Schizosaccharomyces pombe: one gene and its partners. The gene in region 1 interacts genetically with each later gene. Each region holds a gene or a part of one and is shown in the gene's direction. Other genes may lie near its edges.

What was found.
Region 2: mutations in php3 (region 1) and ppr5 together harm fitness more than expected from each alone (negative genetic interaction), as found in Schizosaccharomyces pombe (one large-scale study listed by BioGRID).
Region 3: mutations in php3 (region 1) and asl1 together harm fitness more than expected from each alone (negative genetic interaction), as found in Schizosaccharomyces pombe (one large-scale study listed by BioGRID).
Region 4: mutations in php3 (region 1) and shy1 together harm fitness more than expected from each alone (negative genetic interaction), as found in Schizosaccharomyces pombe (one large-scale study listed by BioGRID).

Annotation. Positions count from the first base shown.
Region 1 is NC_003424.3:2,143,991-2,146,901, forward strand, and holds php3 (CCAAT-binding factor complex subunit Php3), read left to right. Parts: upstream 1-1,690; coding exon 1,691-1,789; intron 1,790-1,936; coding exon 1,937-1,997; intron 1,998-2,052; coding exon 2,053-2,180; intron 2,181-2,335; coding exon 2,336-2,398; downstream 2,399-2,911. Other genes in the region: SPOM_SPAC23C11.07 (uncharacterized protein), read left to right, coding at 904-1,236. UniProt on the Schizosaccharomyces pombe protein: Belongs to a complex that binds to the sequence CCAAT located upstream of genes involved in mitochondrial electron transport.
Region 2 is NC_003424.3:4,605,104-4,612,237, forward strand, and holds ppr5 (PPR repeat-containing protein Ppr5), read left to right. Parts: upstream 1-1,714; 5' UTR 1,715-2,528; coding exon 2,529-6,314; 3' UTR 6,315-6,634; downstream 6,635-7,134. Other genes in the region: SPOM_SPAC1093.07 (uncharacterized protein), read right to left, coding at 804-1,040; pdx3 (pyridoxamine 5'-phosphate oxidase), read left to right, coding at 7,028-7,134. UniProt on the Schizosaccharomyces pombe protein: Mitochondrial RNA-binding protein that acts as a general negative regulator of mitochondrial translation.
Region 3 is NC_003424.3:191,427-196,025, reverse strand, and holds asl1 (O-glucosyl hydrolase Asl1), read left to right. Parts: upstream 1-1,975; 5' UTR 1,976-2,137; coding exon 2,138-3,730; 3' UTR 3,731-4,098; downstream 4,099-4,599. Other genes in the region: mevalonate kinase Erg12, read left to right, coding at 444-518, 768-1,907.
Region 4 is NC_003423.3:1,503,544-1,510,001, forward strand, and holds shy1 (cytochrome c oxidase assembly protein Shy1), read left to right. Parts: upstream 1-1,554; 5' UTR 1,555-1,874; coding exon 1,875-2,134; intron 2,135-2,217; coding exon 2,218-2,830; 3' UTR 2,831-2,868; coding exon of another isoform or gene 2,869-2,976; 3' UTR 2,977-3,036; coding exon of another isoform or gene 3,037-3,255; 3' UTR 3,256-3,326; coding exon of another isoform or gene 3,327-4,445; 3' UTR 4,446-4,484; coding exon of another isoform or gene 4,485-4,746; 3' UTR 4,747-4,786; coding exon of another isoform or gene 4,787-5,223; 3' UTR 5,224-5,262; coding exon of another isoform or gene 5,263-5,381; 3' UTR 5,382-5,624; coding exon of another isoform or gene 5,625-5,763; 3' UTR 5,764-5,807; coding exon of another isoform or gene 5,808-5,840; 3' UTR 5,841-5,908; downstream 5,909-6,458. Other genes in the region: NatB N-acetyltransferase complex regulatory subunit Naa25, read right to left, coding at 2,869-2,976, 3,037-3,255, 3,327-4,445, 4,485-4,746, 4,787-5,223, 5,263-5,381, 5,625-5,763, 5,808-5,840.

The DNA of each region.
Region 1 (2,911 bases):
AGGACGGAAGAGTAGGAATGATGGTAAAGGCAAAAAACATATTCGTTCTTTTGACAACACACAGCTCGCATCGCCTTCAATTACCCTTGCCAATGTTGCAAGTGATGATGGGTGAGATGGGATAGAAAGAGGAGCAAACTTTTAATCTGATATATCATTGATGTATAGGAAATGAGAAATAAAAATACAACTAGGTTTATAGTGCATTCCACTGTATAATATAAAGATTAGGATAGATACACATGACTTTTGAAGTGCAGAAGTATAGTCAAGTAGGGAATATAGTTGAGTAGATGCGAGTTGTAGAACAAAACAATTCAGTATACGCAATTTTCCCCTACGGGAACATATTTAGGTATGCGTGCGAATGGAGAGTGAAGATGAATGAAATGTAGAAAAAAAAAACACTGGATTGTCAGTTTTGCCATAAGATACATTTACTTTCTTGTTATTCCATTTTTCTACGAATCTTCTTTGCTAGGTTATTTTTATTAACTTTTTCGCAAACACGATTTTAATAACATTGAATTCCTCTTCAGTTATCAGATGTGAACGGTAAATACCAATTGTGAACTATTTCAAACGAACTTAATATTTGCTCTGTAAGTTGTAAAATAAATGTCTCATAATTATTTCGCTGTCAGTTTCCACAATCGCTTCTACTCTTTTTTTATATTTATATTTATATTTTTTTTTTGAATTAAATTAATTCATATTATTATTTATTTTTCTTGGTTTTCTAATGATATGTTTATGATATTTATAAAAGGATTTATTTATTTGCTTTTTGTATGAAGGATCGTCGCTTGAATGACAAAACACTTCTTTTGCTAGTCTCTCCTTTCCTCTTGTTTAACGTATATCACGATTATTTTGTCAGCGTAAAAGTGACATAGGGATTAGATGGCATCCCACTTTCTTTTTACTGGGAAACCTTGGCTTCAAGAGAAGACGCCTCGCCTTCACCTTCATCCCACTTGGGACCTTAAAGCTTCCAAAAGTCTTGCTCGTTTCCCTTATACGCCACTTGAAAGTCTTTTGGCCCCCATTTCGGCCTTTCACCCCACTTACCTAAATAGCGCAGCCCCGTCGAAGGCTCAGAGCCATCCAGTATTGCTCGCCGCTGGAGTAGGTGGAATAGTAGTTAGATGCCCCAGTCGGAAACCGATATATCGTACCACTCGAATTCAGTATCTCTTGTTAATCTCCCACTTTACAACTGCACTATTTAAATAATATTATAGGCCGATACAGTCAGTCTGCGAATTGCTTGCAACCTGTAGAAACAAATTGCTGTTTCTTTTGCAATAACATAGTGTTTCTTTATCGCAATAACCAACTACTGATTTCTTTCCCTATTGGAAGTAGATAGACGTTTACTTTCTTTTGTGAAGAAGCAGAAAGTTAACGTTAAGCCATTACCCTCGTTCATTGCTCAAAAGGAGGTCATTTCTTTTTATTTGATTTGTTCGTCTTTTAGGATCTTCATCTCCTGCTGAATTATTGGATTTCTTTTTAGTTCCCTCCACAAAGGCTCGAGAATAGGTTATCAGCTGTCGATTTTTGTCAAGGATCGTGCTTGCTAGTAGTCAAACCAATTTTAGCGGGGTTTGTGTACTTATTTTCGTTATTTGAGGTTTCTCTGCTCGCCAAAATTAAATTATACAAGTAAAAGATACATTTAATTATCATGAGCGCAGACGGGTTGGATTACACCAATCTCCTACCAATTGCAAATGTCGCGCGTATCATGAAATCGGCACTTCCCGAAAACGCCAAGATTTCCAAGGTATGCATGATTTGTTGAATTGAGAAAAATCGCATTGTCAGTCTCTTCGATTGATTGATTGCTAGTGACGGAGTAGGTCGCTGTGAGTGCGTTCTTCTCTTTTGTTTTGTAATTTTCATGTTGCAGTGCTAATGTCTGACTTTTTAGGAAGCTAAAGACTGCGTCCAAGATTGCGTTAGTGAGTTTATTTCCTTTGTTACTGGTGAAGGTATGGAATCAATAGCAAAAGCCTCATGTATAGTTATTTACTGACCATATAATAGCATCTGAACAATGCACTCAAGAAAAGAGAAAGACAATTACTGGTGAAGATGTTTTATTGGCTTTAAATACCCTTGGGTTCGAAAATTATGCCGAAGTTTTAAAGATTTCTCTCACCAAATACAGAGAGGTAAGGAAAAATTCTTTATTTGAATGGTGATACGTGTACTTCTACTTCCTTGTTGGCTTAGAGATTTAAATTGTCTCAAGCAATGAAGGCGCAACAATTCATTCACTCATACCAAAATTTCATTCTCATAGTCACTTTTCTAACATCTACTCTAGCAACAAGCAAGATCTGCTAGCATGAAAGAAACTAAACAAAGCCGGTCCGAAGAGCCTCAGTAATTTCCTTATATATTTTGCATTAGCGGGGTTTTCCCTGAAATATTTCCTGACTTTTGCAGCGATCGTCGATCGCCTTATTTGTTATTCCTCTCTCTTTTTGTACTCTCCTGTTTTATCTCTGTTTATCTTACAAATGATGCTAATTTACGAACTATGTTAATTTCTACTTTAACCAAGTTTCAAAGATAAGCACTATATTGCCAAAATGGCCTGTTCATATTTAAAACTTCCTTAATGTCGTCAGTATAAATTTAGCAATTACTATTGCCTGTTTACTTAAAGTGTATTATTGTGATTATCCCTCATTCGCTTTTGCTTACTTTTTCATTTTGTTAATCCTGCTACTGTTAACCTATATATTATTTTGAAAAAAATAGCATTTCATTTTTATTTTTACTCATTTCGTCTATTTCACCGAAATCAGCATAAGACACATATAGTCATTCGGTTCATGGAAGGATTAGCCGATGTTTCCGTAGTCATATACGTATCAATCAATAAATTTTCTTATTG
Region 2 (7,134 bases), 2.5 Mb from region 1:
AGATAAAGACTGATCTACGGAGTCAATTCTTGATAATATTCATCCTTTTCTCAATACCACGCTAACCTTTATGGCAACCTAGATACTCTTGAAATATTGAACTACAGTGACCTACCATTTATAAATTGTTATATTGCAAATTGCCGATCTATACCGAGAATATCAAAGTAGTGCTGTATATTCAATATACCGAGCACTCGTTCGAGTTTCTACCATTGTAACATATGACTTTTTATCAGATCAACATGATATATGTCAGCAATGATCATTTACAACTCACAGCATACCCCATCGATACATTTTATAATGCCTTTCTTTCCATAAAGTAACGTTTCGATTGGAGGGCTTCCAGAGAGTGAGGCTCAGACAGTAATGGAGGCTTGTGTATTTAAAATCATACCAATGCCATTTGTTTTCCCTCCATACTTCGTGATTCTAAATGATCTGGTTATTTAATGAGTAATTCCGCAAGTTTTCTTTCTAATAAGGTTGAGATACTGTGCGCAGAGGAGCTTGATTATTCTTTAGTGCACTTATTTTAAAAGTACCCGTTTTAAGGTCAATGAATTTTGTTTTGTCTAAAAATGTTTTCTTAGGCGCGAAGTATAGTTTAAAGTTTAGGATTCACGTATTTCTCTAATAATGAAATTCGCCATGTATTTATTTATTTCTGCACCTGTATGCGATTCGTAGGTTTGTCTGCCTACGGGATTTTTCAGCTAGCACAATAGACTCTTACTTCTCATCTCTTGCGTGCTATTTTTGTAATTTCCCACCCTTCCTGAATTTTGCTTAGTCCCAACTTAGGAGTTGTTGGAAAATCTCCTTACCCGATAAAATGTGTTCCTAACCTGTCCCCTTTTACTAGCTGCGGCAAAACTGGCGCTAGTTCCGCTTCTCAAATCTATCTCAATATCGTCCGCCTTCGAATTTGCGTTGGGACGATAAACTTGTCTCAAAAAAATCGATCCACAATTTTTTTTATCTTCTTTTTTCACCGACGAGGCTCGTTTGGTCCACGCTAAAATATTGGTTTCCATATATATACATACCTGACATCCTGACAAACTAACATTCGCTAAATTCGTCGAATTATCAACGGGTGCAGAATATCTTTTACCACATATTTAGCAGCTCCTTATCTTTAAGACTTCTTATTCGGGGTAACGTGACTTTGACTTCATTGTCTCACAAAATTGCTACGACCAACCAACTACAAATATCACTCGTTCAATTTTAAACTTGAACTTGTCGAAAGCCATACTGAATACTCTGTTACTACGTACTAGACAATTGTTGAAATAGATTATTTTCACACTTATTGCCCTGTAACAGCTCGTTTTTCAACAAAACGAAATAATTTTGTTGATTGTGAAAAATTTCCGCTTTTTTTTTTGCGTCGCCATCCTCATCTTTCCCTGTTGGAAGCTTAAACACACGAAACTTGTGCTTGGTGTTTTAATTAATCAAGCACACACTTCCCTTATAGATCTACTTCCTTGCCCTTTTCTGAGGATTCATTAGCTACAGACATATCTGTTATTCATTCAACAAATTCTTGAAGCTCAAATCGCTTTTCTTTTTCCGCATTTTAGATGAACTAAGCATTTAATTATTCTATCATTTTCTCTCCCTTTTTTTTGTTATTCGGTTTAACGTACCTAGGTTTTCTACCCAATCCTCTTTTGTTTGGCACGGTGTATTAGATTTCGTCAGGTTTATTGTTTTTTCCCATCTATTTCTTCATTCATTTATTCCACTCCCCTGCTTCAATTTGATATAACTAAATTACCCTCCTCTTGTAATTTTCATATCGGCGTCTTGTTTCATTTCGCCACTGCTGACGCTTGATCAGATTTAAATCGTCATATATACTCTTCTCCACTTGCCATTAAGACGATCGTACTTTGAAAACATTGTAAAAATTCTACTTTATAAGCAAAGTATTCGAATCGCTTTCTTCATTTGACTTTATTGGAATTTTTATTTGTCTTTGATAATTCAATTGCGAGTGCTAGGATTGCTCTATCTTTTTATTTTTCAATCCTTGAATCTTTACGTACCCTCCAACTAGCACTCCTTTGTTTGCTTTGTGTATATTTCACTCTTATTCTGGTCTATAACGCAGTTCATCTGATAACGGTGATAGGCTCGTCATTACCAGGCGTACATAACACATTCACTTGATTTATTCTATATTTCAAATCTCAGTGACCATTTCATTTAACCTTTGCTGTACTATTTTATAGTCTGTCCTGCTAGTCTTCTTTCCCTGAGTTAGTGGATATTCTGGTTGGTGGTCGGCTATACCGTTTAGCTATACATATCGTTTCCGTTTTTCTCTCTTTTTTATTCATTTCTTGTGTTCTTTGGGTGTTTACTATTCTTTTTATTATTCATTTCATTTGTTTTACGTTTTTTCTATTTATTGTGTCTCTTTTTGGTCTAATTTTTTTTTAGATTGTTTATATCCGTTTTTGTTTATTTTCTAGACTATTATCCCATTTACGCTTAATATTAGTTTCAATATGGTTTACACGAAAGCTTGGTTTTTGCAAAATATTGCCAGACAAACACTTGGCAAAAATGTTGCCGTTCATCGTCCTCCTTTGAAGCTTGGAAATATGACGAATTGGATTCAACAACAACAAGCCCAAACGAACCTCTCTCTCTCTAACACGAAAGCACCTGGTTCATTGGATGAGCGTCTTTTCTTAACTGAGGATGACATTATCTTCCATGACCGTAGTATTCAGCTTGGTTACTTCGATCCTTCTCTTTCTGAGCGTAAGCAATCTCCTCCAGGCAAGTCCCTTCATCGCTTTGTTGACAATCTCAACCCTAACAGCTCACATTTTTCTGCTTCTCTTTTACCTGCTTCTCTCTCGTCACTATGTGACTCGACATGCGGTGATGTAGATGATGAACAACAATTTAACTCTCTCGCAACATCTCCCCTCTCAACTGAAACCCAGTCCGAAGTTTCGGACCCTTTACTGGATACTTTAACTCCTAATTCTTTGGAATCTTCTTTTGCTTCAATTTCTCTGAATTCTTTCACTTCTGCCAATGAGTTTATTCAATTTTTGAAAAGACTTGCTAGTAGTAAATTATCCATTCATACTTTTGATCTGTATAAGCTTGTTCGAAACTCTCCTGAACTATTGACTTTGGAAGCGTACAATATTGTTTTGCAATGCATGAGTACGGACGACTATTTTTTGTCGTCATCAAAAAACATTCAAAAAATTATCAAGGTTTATGTCGATATGCTTAATTCGTTTATCTCTCCAAACGTAACTACATTTGAAACCGTCATTTTCGCTCTTTGTCGTCGCGCTAAATTCGTGCATCAAAAAATTGAATCACTCTCTAAGCGCACTATTTACGCACATCCGAGTATTGCAAAAGAAATACAGCCTGAATTGCTCGATCTGCAATCCGAGATGCCTTTGCAAACTGCTGTTTTCATGTTTACTTCTAGCCTCATTAATCACGATCTCATATACTCTCCTCAATTTTATGCTATTTTAATTGAGAGTGTTTCTTTGTATGGAACGCAAAGCCAATTGGATTCCTTATTAGAGTGCGTTCCTCTTGGCACTATTGAAGCTAACGGCCATCCTGATTTACTCCCAGCTCTAATTAGAGCTCTCGGTAGAGCTAAAAGGCTCAACAGTTGTTTTCAACTTTTAGAGCGTTATAACTTATCTGATCCAACTAGTGACACTTCGATGACTAATGTGCGTTCTTGGGAAGGTTTAATGGAAGCTTATTTTGACACAGATCACCATGTTGAAGCAAGTGCATTGATGAAATCTTTTTTCCGAAAGGCTGATAGCAATCAAGTTATACCGTCTTCAATATTAGACTGCTTTTTACGTAGATTGGCTCAATTAGGACATTATAAGGAATCTGCTGAATGGCTTGGTATGGCTATAGAAAAGATTAGCACTTACAAAGCGAGTCCGTCTACATTATCGTCCATATTGGAGGCGGCTTGTTTGAACAACAACGACAAGTTTGCTATTGCTTTTGTGAGAAAATATACATTATCTCGATTTAGCGACTGTCATGCAGTGCTTCTCCGTTATCTGGACTTGCTTGCCAGATCAGGGAATGTCGATCTACTTCATTTACATGCATATCCCGTTATTTGTTCTGTGTCTTCTCACACTAACTTTACGTTTTCGAACGTTTACAAAGCTTTCATTGAGAACGGAAAGATTGATGTTGCACTTCGTCTACTTCGTAAACACATTGATCCAAAAGTTTCCCTTGGTAACAATACTGCACCATCTTCTAATAGTGTTGCTCTTCAATTATCAATCCTTAATGGATTTTGGGAAGTGTTGACGGAGGAGTTACAAAAAGATGTGCATGTTCTTTTATCGTTGGTTTCAACGTTAGAGAACCAAGTAAACTTCCCTCAAGTTGATTTTACTACTCCGTTGTTACGACATATAACGGGTTACTTAGTTAGCCGTCGCTTAGAACCGGAGCTCATTTCTCCTAGAGTATTTGGCTTTTTGCTGGAATATGCAGCATTCAATGTCGTGCAAACCGAAGGTACTTTCACTTCTAAGGTTATCCTCACTGATTTGTTAAAATGTTACTCCAATGGAACGTATAAAGCATCTTTCAAAAACGTTCATGTTGTTTTACGTTCTTTCACATACCTGAAAGAAGACGAAATGCTGGTTGCATCCGTTCGAGATGACATCGTCTCTGAAGCAGTCGTCGGATTCTCTACTGATAACAATGGACAGAAAATTTTAGCGGATATATCGCAAGTTTGTTATTGCCTTGACGACCTGGAATGCATCGATCAAAGTATAAATTCACTTGTTTCCAAAATGTTAACAAGTGCATCACCTGAGCAGGTGGACGTTAATATATTGTTTTTCCAGTTCGGTAAGCTTATTGAAACCAATAAATTTTTGCATCCTGAAGTTTATCCTACGTTAATATCTGTTTTAAGCAAAAATAAACGTTTTGATGCTGTGCAACGTGTTTTTGAGCATTCCAAGCACCTCTATAGGAAAATCAGTACGAAGTCTCTTGAAAAAGCGAACTGGTTTATGGCGTTGATTTTAGACGCCATGATCTTATCGTCTTCCTTTGCTCGTCAGTTCAAATCTTCAAATCTTTTTTGTGACAATATGAAAATGCTTGGATATATTCCTCGTGCTTCAACTTTCGCACATTTGATTAACAACTCAACAAGGAGAGGAGATACTGATGATGCCACTACCGCTTTGAATATTTTTGAGGAGACCAAACGCCATAATGTGAAACCTTCTGTTTTTCTATATAATGCAGTGCTTTCTAAATTAGGTCGAGCTCGCCGCACAACAGAGTGCTGGAAATTGTTTCAAGAAATGAAGGAATCGGGGTTACTTCCTACCAGCGTTACTTATGGTACCGTAATTAATGCTGCTTGTCGCATTGGTGACGAGAGTCTTGCTGAGAAGCTATTTGCTGAAATGGAAAATCAGCCTAACTATCAACCTCGCGTTGCTCCATACAACACTATGATACAATTTGAGGTCCAGACAATGTTTAATCGTGAAAAAGCGCTATTTTACTACAATAGGCTATGTGCTACCGACATAGAGCCTTCTTCTCATACTTATAAGTTATTGATGGATGCTTATGGTACATTGAAGCCTGTCAATGTAGGTTCCGTAAAGGCAGTTCTTGAACTTATGGAGCGTACAGATGTGCCAATTTTATCTATGCATTATGCTGCATATATTCATATTTTAGGAAACGTTGTTTCGGATGTTCAGGCAGCCACGAGTTGCTACATGAATGCTCTTGCCAAACATGATGCCGGGGAAATTCAACTAGATGCGAACTTATTCCAATCCCAAATTGAATCTCTTATTGCAAATGACCGCATTGTTGAAGGCATTCAAATTGTTTCTGATATGAAGCGTTACAATGTCTCGTTAAATGCATACATTGTAAATGCCCTTATAAAGGGATTTACTAAGGTTGGCATGATTAGCAAAGCACGTTATTACTTCGACCTTTTAGAATGCGAGGGTATGTCTGGTAAGGAACCTAGCACCTATGAAAATATGGTTCGTGCCTACCTAAGTGTAAATGACGGTCGAAAGGCAATGGAAATTGTGGAACAATTGAAACGCAAGCGTTACCCGCTACCGGTTGTTAATCGTATTTCTTCCTTGGTAAATAGCCATATGGGTCAGAAACCTAAACGTCGTTCTTTGAATACTAGTCACTCTTCTCTTGCTTCTTTAGGAAATGCTAGTACCCAACACTCAATTAATAGTTCTATCAATTAGACTGAAATTTGTGTGCTAATTGGATGAGATTTGGGCTATTCTTATATATTATATTTGATTATTGGCATGTATCTTTATTTCGTTCCTTGAAATAATTTTAAGCATCTTTTTTGATGCTATGTAAAATATTTTTATAGATTAATATAGAACTTAGAATTTTATGCATTAAAATGTCTAGAATTTACTTATCGCGTATTCAATTTTACTTTTAACCACTGGACCATTCCTGTACAAACATTGCTGAAATGGTTATGACTACCGCTAAGTAATAAAATTTGGTTCCACACATTACTAGATGATCTAAGTTGAGAACAATGTTGTTACCATGGCATATAGTTGTTAAAAAACTTCAGTTTACATAATACTTTTAAACATTCCCGCTACTGTAGAAGCACTGTTTTAATAAGTGCCCAATTGACATCAGTTACAATTTCAGGGATAAGCTTAAGAATGCTTGAAACTTTGGTATCATGACAGTAACTCTTGGTATCGTTCATGGCAATTTAAAAAGACATAGAATTTGATCGATTTGTGTTAAAATTAACCAGCTCTAGCATGCTGTACCGTATGACACGTCTTTTGCTAGCATTTTCTTTAGTGCGTGATACTGAGTCGTTTCATCGCGTTATATATATATCAAAACAGATATCTCATATAAATTCAGTTACTGCCTGAAACGAGGAAAAGTATCTTTTCCAATCCCGTTTACCACGATGTCTGAAAATACTGATTCCACCCACGAAAAGCTAATTTTTGCACCTTCTCGCTATCAATATGAAAAATCAAGTTTGCACAGAGATGCACTTATGGGAAAAGACCC
Region 3 (4,599 bases), 2.0 Mb from region 1:
ATTATGTACTTACTAAACAGCATTTTTTTATACCTGAACACTACTTCTCAATTTGCTTAGCTGTCTATTTAAATATTATGTTATCAATACTCATCATATATGTACTTGCTCTTGCTTTCTTGCTATAAGCTATAAATGTAGTATTTTATGGTTTTATGTAAATGTCTAACGAGTTTTGCGCTGTATACCTCGTTTAAAAAGTCATTTTCCTTAGCGCATATGAAAACTATAACATCGCGATTTTTATTACAAAAGAACTTTTAAAACAAAATCAAATAAAGTAACTTTTTAATTAAAATACCAATCTTTTGCTACAACTTCCAATACCATCATCACCTTGTCCTGTTTGCGTAGATATCTGTCGATAACCAACCTTCGTCGCCTATTTACCATCACCTTATTTTAACTGTGTTTTGAAGTTGAACGTAAAAAAAATTTCTGAAATGTCAAAATCGCTTATTGTTTCGTCGCCAGGAAAAACGATTTTGTTTGGGGAACATGCCGTTGTATATGGAGCTGTAAGTTTACCTAAGGTTTAAAGCAGATTACATTAGCGAGAGTTTTTAACAGGCTAGTACTGGATACAGCTCTGTTATGCATATATGATTTCTTTGTAACATAGTATTTGCAAAGCGAACACCACTTTTAACTTTGACAGTCGTCGCAAATGTCATTCTGCTATAGCCATGCTTATTTTTGATTCTAATCTTAAGCCATTTTAAAGCGAAAATATGGAGATCATTTAAATTTTTATGCTAACTTTCTAGACTGCGTTAGCTGCAGCTGTATCGTTACGGAGTTACTGTAAATTACAGACGACTAATAACAATGAAATAGTAATTGTGATGAGTGATATAGGGACCGAACGCCGATGGAATCTTCAATCGCTACCTTGGCAGCATGTAACAGTGGAAAACGTTCAGCACCCGGCATCATCTCCCAATCTGGACCTTTTACAAGGATTAGGAGAGCTATTAAAAAATGAAGAAAACGGACTTATTCACTCAGCAATGCTTTGTACCCTTTACTTGTTCACGTCTTTGTCTTCTCCTTCTCAGGGTTGTACTTTAACTATTAGCTCCCAAGTACCTTTGGGTGCTGGATTAGGTAGTAGTGCTACTATATCAGTTGTTGTCGCTACAAGTTTACTACTAGCTTTTGGTAATATTGAACCTCCTAGCTCAAATTCTCTTCAAAACAACAAAGCACTTGCGTTGATAGAGGCTTGGTCTTTTCTAGGTGAATGCTGTATTCATGGAACACCAAGTGGTATTGATAATGCAGTAGCAACAAATGGAGGACTTATCGCTTTTCGTAAAGCTACAGCTCATCAGAGTGCCATGAAAGAATTCTTAAAGCCTAAAGATACCTTATCTGTTATGATCACTGATACCAAACAACCAAAAAGTACTAAAAAACTTGTACAAGGAGTTTTTGAACTGAAGGAAAGACTACCAACTGTGATTGACTCAATAATAGATGCAATCGATGGCATATCAAAGTCTGCCGTCCTCGCATTGACTTCGGAGAGCGATAAAAACTCCTCCGCTAAAAAGTTAGGAGAGTTTATTGTTCTTAATCAAAAACTCTTAGAATGCTTGGGTGTATCCCATTATTCCATTGATCGCGTTTTACAAGCCACTAAGTCAATTGGATGGACGAAGCTTACAGGTGCCGGTGGTGGAGGTTGTACGATTACTTTATTAACACCTGAGTGCAAAGAAGAGGAATTTAAGTTATGTAAAGAATCACTATTAGCCCATAAAAATTCTATTTACGATGTTCAATTAGGTGGACCTGGTGTTTCAGTGGTAACCGACTCAGATTCATTTTTCCCTCAATATGAGTCTGACTTTGATTTTAAAAAATTGAATTTACTCAGCAAATTTAATAAATATTATATTTAAAGTTTTTATGTATAATCAAATTTTCATAACTGGTATATATATGAGTGGCTTGATAATGAACGCGGCTTGTCGTTCACCAACCACCACAGTAGAAGCTAGTCTATAAGAGTCGTTGTCCGTTCTTTAGCAACACTCCTTTCCACTCTTTTATATATCAACTATATACCAAATTTCATCTTTTCTTTCTTTTTTTAGTATTAGACGCGTTTTATCTAGTATTTTCTAAAAAAATGCGTACTACTTTCGCGACCGTCGCTTTAGCTTTTTTATCGACCGTTGGAGCTTTGCCCTATGCTCCTAACCATCGCCATCACCGTCGTGATGATGATGGCGTTTTAACCGTGTATGAGACTATCTTGGAGACTGTTTATGTTACCGCAGTTCCTGGTGCTAACTCATCTTCCTCATATACTTCTTACTCCACTGGTTTAGCTTCTGTTACCGAGTCGTCCGACGATGGTGCTTCAACGGCTTTACCTACTACCTCTACGGAATCTGTGGTTGTAACAACCAGTGCCCCTGCTGCTAGTTCCTCTGCCACTAGCTACCCTGCCACTTTTGTTAGTACTCCTCTATATACTATGGACAACGTTACTGCACCCGTATGGTCCAATACTTCTGTCCCTGTATCAACTCCCGAGACATCTGCCACTTCTAGTTCTGAATTTTTCACTTCGTATCCTGCTACCAGTTCCGAATCTAGCTCTTCTTATCCTGCTTCTAGTACTGAAGTTGCTAGCTCTTATTCTGCTTCTAGTACTGAAGTTACTAGTTCTTATCCTGCTAGCTCTGAAGTTGCTACGTCAACTTCATCCTATGTGGCTCCTGTCTCGTCTTCAGTTGCTTCTTCATCAGAGATATCAGCTGGCTCTGCTACATCTTACGTCCCCACTTCCTCATCATCTATTGCTCTTTCTTCTGTAGTTGCAAGTGCCAGTGTTTCTGCTGCTAACAAGGGAGTTAGTACTCCTGCTGTTTCTTCAGCTGCCGCCTCCTCTTCAGCTGTCGTTTCCTCTGTTGTCTCTAGTGCCACTTCTGTTGCTGCTTCTAGTACTATTTCCAGTGCTACCTCAAGCTCTGCATCAGCATCTCCTACTAGTTCTTCAGTTTCTGGCAAGCGCGGTTTGGCCTGGATTCCTGGAACTGACCTTGGTTACTCTGATAACTTTGTCAATAAGGGCATCAACTGGTATTACAACTGGGGTAGTTATTCATCTGGTCTGAGTTCCTCTTTTGAATATGTTCTCAACCAACATGATGCCAATAGCCTTTCTTCAGCTTCTTCTGTTTTCACTGGTGGTGCTACCGTCATTGGATTTAATGAGCCTGATTTGTCCGCTGCTGGAAATCCTATAGATGCAGCTACTGCAGCTAGTTATTATCTTCAATACTTAACACCTCTTCGTGAATCTGGTGCCATTGGTTATTTGGGATCACCTGCCATCAGTAACGTAGGTGAAGATTGGCTTTCTGAATTCATGAGCGCATGCTCTGATTGTAAGATCGATTTCATTGCTTGCCATTGGTATGGTATTGACTTTAGCAATTTGCAAGATTATATTAACTCTCTCGCCAATTACGGTCTCCCTATTTGGCTTACTGAATTTGCTTGCACCAACTGGGATGATAGCAATTTACCTTCATTGGATGAAGTTAAGACTTTGATGACCAGCGCTCTTGGCTTTTTAGATGGACATGGATCTGTTGAGCGTTACAGTTGGTTTGCTCCTGCTACCGAACTCGGAGCCGGTGTTGGTAATAACAATGCCCTTATCAGTTCCTCTGGTGGATTAAGTGAAGTCGGAGAGATTTATATTTCTTGAACTCCTTAAATTTACACAAAATGGGAAATTATCTTGTGAGATATAATGGTAATTCTTATGCTTTTTTTTCGTTCTTTAAACTGTCAAATACTCTTATTTCTTCTTGCTCTGAAACTCTTTTTTATGATATTTTGTTTCATGGTTTTTGTCGCTTTTTTTTGAATACTCTGCCATCTATCAGATTGTTTAAGCTTTCTGAACTATGCTTATAGGAGATGTGCTTCTTATTACATCGATCTTTCATTTATTCATTCGTTTATTTTACCAACCATGAAGTTCATTGTGTTTGATGTCACAATTTTTAAAGCGTGTATTCAATGAATATGCTGCGTGTTTTAATTTAATACAGTCGTTAAATGTCTTTTAAATTTTATTAGTAATCTTTTCTGTAAGCTTTGGAACTCTTGATAAAGTCGTTTAACTTTATTTGCTGACATTGTTGATGATCTGTAGTATAAAGGTAAATAATAAGCGAAAGTCTCGTCTATAAAATGAAAACAAATGCATAATTGACTGCTGTAATGATAAAACAACTATTTCTCCATTGCGCCATTGTGGGTGGTTTGATATCTGGGTGTTCTTTACATGCTTGTTTGCCTCTTTTCAAAAGGAGGTCTTAGCAACTTTGGACACACGAACAAGAAAAGGCTTATTGAACTATAGGATATTAGAAGCATGAGCAATTTAAGAGACATCACAAACTTAATTAGCAGATATTAAAAGAAAAAGTTATCTCGAATCTCTTGCGAAAAATTTATTAAAGTAACCTTTTTTTTGCATAGTTCTTTGCAGCAGATTTAACTTACGCCGAGTAATCTAGTACTAGATTCTTAACCTGCTCTACTCACTGTAATCATAAAAAGAAACTC
Region 4 (6,458 bases), on another chromosome or scaffold:
ACGTAGATACGGTACATGTCGTCAGTTTATTTACATCAAGAAAACCAGAGAATGCCTAACTTATTGACATGTTAACATTTGTAGTCAAATAACTGAAGGGTCGGTGCCTAATAATCTGTATAGCAAATGATTCAAATAGTTTTTTACTTTAGAGCTATATTAGTTTGTTCATGCTTTTTGCCTGATTGCAGGTTGTAGTTCTACTAAACTATATTCAACCATTTATCTTGAACAAAATCCTATGTCAACAAAAGACTTTTAAATAAATAAACTGCACTATTATTTAATTGTTATTGTCGAAAGCGATCAGTAACAGCAGATTAAGAAACTACTTTTTGACCAGCCAACTTGTCGAGTATTAAAACTAGCATTAGTATATATAATTTAATAAATACATTCCGACGATACTGCCTCTATGGCTTAGTGGTACAGCATCGCACTTGTAATGCGAAGATCCTTGGTTCGATTCCGAGTGGAGGCATATACATTATATTATATTCTTTTTCATGCGGAAAAAAGATTTCAAATTTTTGGGTATGATATTAATATGACTGTAACGTTAATAGCAAAGTGAGTGTTAATAATGATAAAATAGCAGCAAAATCTCTTTTCCGAGTAAGACGTTTTCCAGTCTAAATTTGGAGTCTGCAGTTGTTTCGCAATTCTTAATGTATGGTTATACTAAATACAAACTTTAAAGCTCTGATTTATGTTTGCAATAAACTAAAATAAAAGCACAAAAACCTTTACCCATTAATTTCAAACAACTTATAAACTACCGGTAAACTTTTTTTCTAACCTTTATAATTTATAAACTAGAATGTTTAATGTCTACGGCCATACCTAGGCGAAAACACCAGTTCCCGTCCGATCACTGCAGTTAAGCGTCTGAGGGCCTCGTTAGTACTATGGTTGGAGACAACATGGGAATCCGGGGTGCTGTAGGCTATTTTTTTATATCCGTCTTTCTTACTACTTGCCTAACAAGTCATGATGTACTCTCAAAATATGTTTGCATGCCTTGTAATATTGGTTATGGATAGCTCCTTCTGGACTTGATCTTTTGTAGCCAAGAACAATGGGTATAGACTCTGACCTTGTGATGTTGTAGCCACAGATTATAATAGGTATTTTCAAGTACAGTAACAAAAATCTTCTAGTTTTTTTTTAGAAAGGATACACCAAGTATAAGCAAATTCAGGAATTGTTGATTAAACTGTCAACTTCGGTAAAACTTTGGGCATAAGTAGTGTGGGAGCAAGTTTAACTAAAATTCTATTCAGATGTCGAATCCAAACCGCTAATTTTGCTCAACTAGCTTTTCATAAAAACCAATTCATAGTTTCATACTAATAAAGACGATTGTTTACTTTAAAACATACGTCGTAAGAACATATATTGCTTTATCGAAAGATAACAAATGTTAAGCTATTATATTATTTAACTATAGCGCAGATTTCGCTTCCTTTACTTAAAAAAGACATGTGACTTGTAGAAGCTTGGAGTGAATACGCAAAGGTACCTACTTAGACATTCGCGTCTCTCTTAGCTGTCAACATCAACAAACTGGCCCCGTATTGAACAGTATCTTACTTGTCGAAGGATTTGACTAAGAAAATTTTATTTCTTTATAGCAATATTCCGTTTTCGCTTAGAAGATTCTAGTCAATTGCCCTATTCTACTTACGCTTTACAGTAGTATCAGAAGACCTGAGTGGGATTTTGCTGCTAGTAGAGGCCATTCAAGTTAACTCCGTTTTGCAACATTTTAAAAGTTTTTGAATTGAATATAAATATCAATTGTTTGATTCCTTTTAGGATTTAATCTTTTCTTTTTATTTTTGTTTCGATTGAATCTTGGATTCCTGTCTATCATGTTTTGGTGGAAAAGTGCTACTAAATTCACATTCTCAAAGCGTGGACCGTGTGTCTTTCGCTATTTGAGTACTCTTGAAGGAACAACTGTGAGGCCTAAAAAAAATAAATTTTTAGTTGGATTGCTTTCTGCCGTTCCAATTGTCACGTTTGCTTTAGGAACTTGGCAGGTAAAGCGACGAGAATGGAAAATGGGTATCATCAATACACTCACGGAAAGGCTTCAACAGCCCGCAATTTTATTACCGAAAACTGTTACGTACGTTAAGTTAACATATACACAAATTGCACGTTTTGCAATTGAACTGTCGTTTTTTACATTAAGCTAACATAATCACTTAGAGAGCAAGATACAAAAAAACTTGAGTGGACTAGGGTTTTGCTTCGTGGTGTGTTTTGTCACGACCAAGAAATGTTGGTCGGTCCAAGAACGAAGGAAGGCCAACCTGGCTATCACGTAGTAACCCCATTTATTTTAGACGATGGGCGTCGAATTTTAGTCAACAGAGGATGGATTGCTCGATCATTTGCTGAACAGTCTTCTCGAGATCCTAGTTCTTTACCTAAAGGTCCAGTGGTCATTGAAGGTCTTTTGAGACAACATACTGATAAGCCAAGATTTATGATGAAGAATGAGCCTGAAAAAAATTCTTTTTACTTCTTAAATGTTCGTGAGTTTGCACAATTGAAAGGAACTCTCCCCATTTTGATAACAGAACTACAACCATCGCTTACACCGTTGCAAGAAGCCGATCATGTTAAGAGAGGCTTGCCTCTTGGTCATCCTCTAAAAGTTGAAATTTTCAACAGTCATACAGAATATATTATCACTTGGTATTCTCTAAGTGTGGTATCAGCTATAATGCTTTACGTCTATTTTAAGAGAGGTTCAGGCACATCTTCTCTGAATTCTGCATACGAAAGAAGCAAGATTCTAAACAACAAACGATTATAAAAAATTTTCATATTTATAAGTTTCTAAATATTATCTACCTAAAATTTTACAAATTTTGGAAGCTTGCTTACTGCGTCCGTCGTTTGAATGTATGAATCGATCATTCCTTCACCAACTTGTTTTGCAAACTTCGGATCGTAAGGAACCTATTATTAGGAAGTTAGTTCTCATGCCTATAATTTTAATGCTCTATAATCATCACGTACCTGAGTTTCAGATAAATTGCTCAGCCAAGAGTTTGACAACAATTCTGATACATATTTTCTGGCGGCCTTCTTTTTATGCTTCGTAATTCCAGAGATACTTCCTAATTTGTTACTGCTGATGTTTTTAAGAAGTTGGTATTGTCTGGTAAATTCTTTTTTCTTGGTAGCTGACACGTGATATAGGAAGCTGTTTAGACAAGTGATAAGGTCATTTATGATCTATAATTCGGTTAGTTTAGAAATTTTTATATCATTTTTTTTAAAAAAAAAAACCAGTTTGGTAAACTTACTTCAGTGTACTTTGTCAATTGACTTAAAGGCGTGGAGTTCTCATAATCGAATGACTCAATTAAATTTTCAATCGTTTCGAACGAGGAATTTTCGTAGTCTCCGTTCTTGACCTTTACCGAAAGTAATCCCAGTTGGATCAATAATTTCATATGAACAATTTCTTCCGAAGTTAATTGCTTCGATAAATCATTGTTTTCGCACAAAACTTCCATTTCCTTAGCACTTAAAACGGCCTTTTCAAAATCGCCGTTTACTATGCTGTCTTGAACGAGAGAATGACCAATGACAGTCAAATGGATCCAAAGCGTGTCCGGTTTAGGCGAATTTCTTAAACTTTCTTCAACTGTTGGCAATTTATCAGATCCATAATCTGCAAAGACCTTTAAATCTCGATTATCTTTCGGAGATGAACATTTGGGAAGATACTGTTTGGGTGGTTTAAAAGCGGTAAGATAATGTATCCTAGCCCGCTCGACCAAAGAAATGCTTTTCCAGGTACTGTGGTCTAAACGGGATCGGAAATTACGCATATCTTCGATTTGAGAGTAAGCACCATCTTCATAAGCCATAGAAATCATCTCTGGTGTTTCAAACTCATTCGAACCATATATTTTGAGACTTGAGTTAATATAGTGAGAAGTAACAGAAGATGGATAATAGGTAGTAGCACGAGTCAAGAGATAATGATCAAGGGTATCGTTTTGAATTTGCTTAATGGACATAGTGTCGTAAACTTTAGCAGCAGCAGGGAAGCCTCCATCAAGAAGAAGATATAAACGAATAAGGGGTAGCTTTAAATGAAAGTTATGTTGACTATAAGTAATGCCTTTTTCTAAAAGACAGATTGCGTCAAAAATTAAAGCTTGTTTTTCGGCAGGTTTTAAATCCTTATTCCCCTCCCACATATATATCAATGAATGAACTGCTAATAACAAAGCTTCATAACCGTGCGTAAAGTCAGTGGGTAATAAGCCTTTACTTAAAGACAAACCCTTTTCAAATGCGACGAAGCATCTACGCACGTAATCGACAACCGATTCTGCAGTAAACGACTCAAAGAGCAAAAAATGGATCTTCAGAAGCAAAACCTCAGCATATAATTTATCGACTTTTTGAGACTACGACGAGTTAATATTGAAAGATGAATAAATACTTACTTCATTGGATTCACCTAGATCAGCCAACTTAAATGCATCTAATAACCGGTGTTGTGCATCAACATTCAGCTTCAATAGATAAGGTCTCAAATCTTCAAAAACAATTGGTTTCATATACAGCTTTTTGATATAGCCAAGTAATGCTGATTCGTGTTCTTCAGGAAAAAACCGTGCGCTGGCTTCAATCCAAAGTAAATGAAGATTTCTTTTTGTGCTGCTGGTTGACAACGCTTTCAATATACAATCCTTTAATGGGACTAATCTATGGAGAAGTTAGTAATAATGCAAAAAAAAAAACTTACTTTGAATCATCATTGGAAGCACTATCCAGCAAAGCTTTGCAAACCTTCCAATCAGTATTCCCAGTTTGGAAAAGAGAAAGCGAAAACGTGAATAAAGAATCCCAACGCGCACAGGAAGCAAGCAATTCAAGCTTCCTCAAAAGAAGGTCGGCGTCAGCATCAACAAAGCGATCAGCATCTTGATGTATTAAAGCATCTAACGCTCTGTCCTTGTCTCCCACTAAAAGCAACACGTCTAAATAAAGATGAAACTCCTCACAAGAATCGATATAACCTGTTGGTTTTTCGAAAATGAGTTTAGCAGTTTTTTCAGCTAGTGCTTTCAGCAAACGTTGTTCAACCTCATTTTCCGACTTTTTGGACAAAAGATACAAAGATGAGATAACCCATAAGGTATGTTTCCTAGAAGGAAAGTTCTTTTGCAATTCTACAGCAGCCTGAGGAGTTAGTAAAAAAAAAACAAATTAAGATCTTACCTTTCTTTGGTGAGACAATGATTTGATGCGAATAGATGCTTTGAAGTAAGCTAATAAGTTTTTTTCCTGCTTTCCATAAGTTTGCAAGAACTTTTCCCAAAATACAAACGATTCTTCTCCTTCAAATAGTTAATAACTTAAAAGTAAGAGGGTAAAAACAAGTCCATTGAGAAATAAAACGTTGCACTTGAATCATCAAGCTACGAAAAGAACAAAGATCGTTTTTCTTAAGCAAAGTTTAACCGATCAAATAACTAAAGCCTTTATCTCAAGGAAATAGTAGAATATTCAAAATAAAAAATACGACCAAAGTGCTATCAACATTTATGTTCATCTGTTCAATAGAACCTAATTATACTTACCCTTCTTTTGATCATCATAAACAGCTTGTATAATGTCTAAAAGTTCCAAGCTGTTGATGGGAGTCGATTTTAACGGTTCTAAAAGTGCTAGAGCCTCGGGACCACGTCCTGCCTGAGCCAAGGATAACGCTGAATAAACCTAAAAAGGATGTTAACAGCTAAAAACATAACTCGATTACTTACAATTGTTGATTCTTTACTCCCAGAACGACGCATTGTAGTAGGCAATGAAATTAAAGCCCAAACAGTAGTCAGAAGTTGGTAGGTGTTGCAGTCAAATTATTATTCTACAGAGGAGAATATTATAGCCAGCGTGGTAGAATCTGGATATATATCTACTGCAAAAGTGTAATTGCATTGGTTTAAAGGGTATACTATGGTTAAGTAATATATTCACAGCTGTACAATTTACAGTCATAACTAAAACTTCCTTAAGCCGTAAAGAAATACCTGGTGTTGTAAAATTTGTTGTATATCCACGGCATGGTCATATAATGTGATTTTGTGCTCAAATAAATATAAAATATGCATAATTTTTGTACATTTAATTTGAGAAACCCATCTTTTGTTGAGAGGCTGTCAATGAATAGCAGTTTCATTGAAAAGCAGCGGGATGACCAGAAAAGTATTTTACAATGGCAAGGGAGTAGAAAGCTAGCGTAATATTCAGAAAGCTAGGTAATTGAGCAATCCTTTAATTCATTGCTAAGCATGCTAGGTAAACGCAGTAAACCTTTCAGTTTTCATTTAGGTATAAGGCTGTTTAATGAGTATCTCCACTAAATTTAAAGATCAAAACTCAGTATCAATTCTTAAAAGTTTTATTTTATTTAA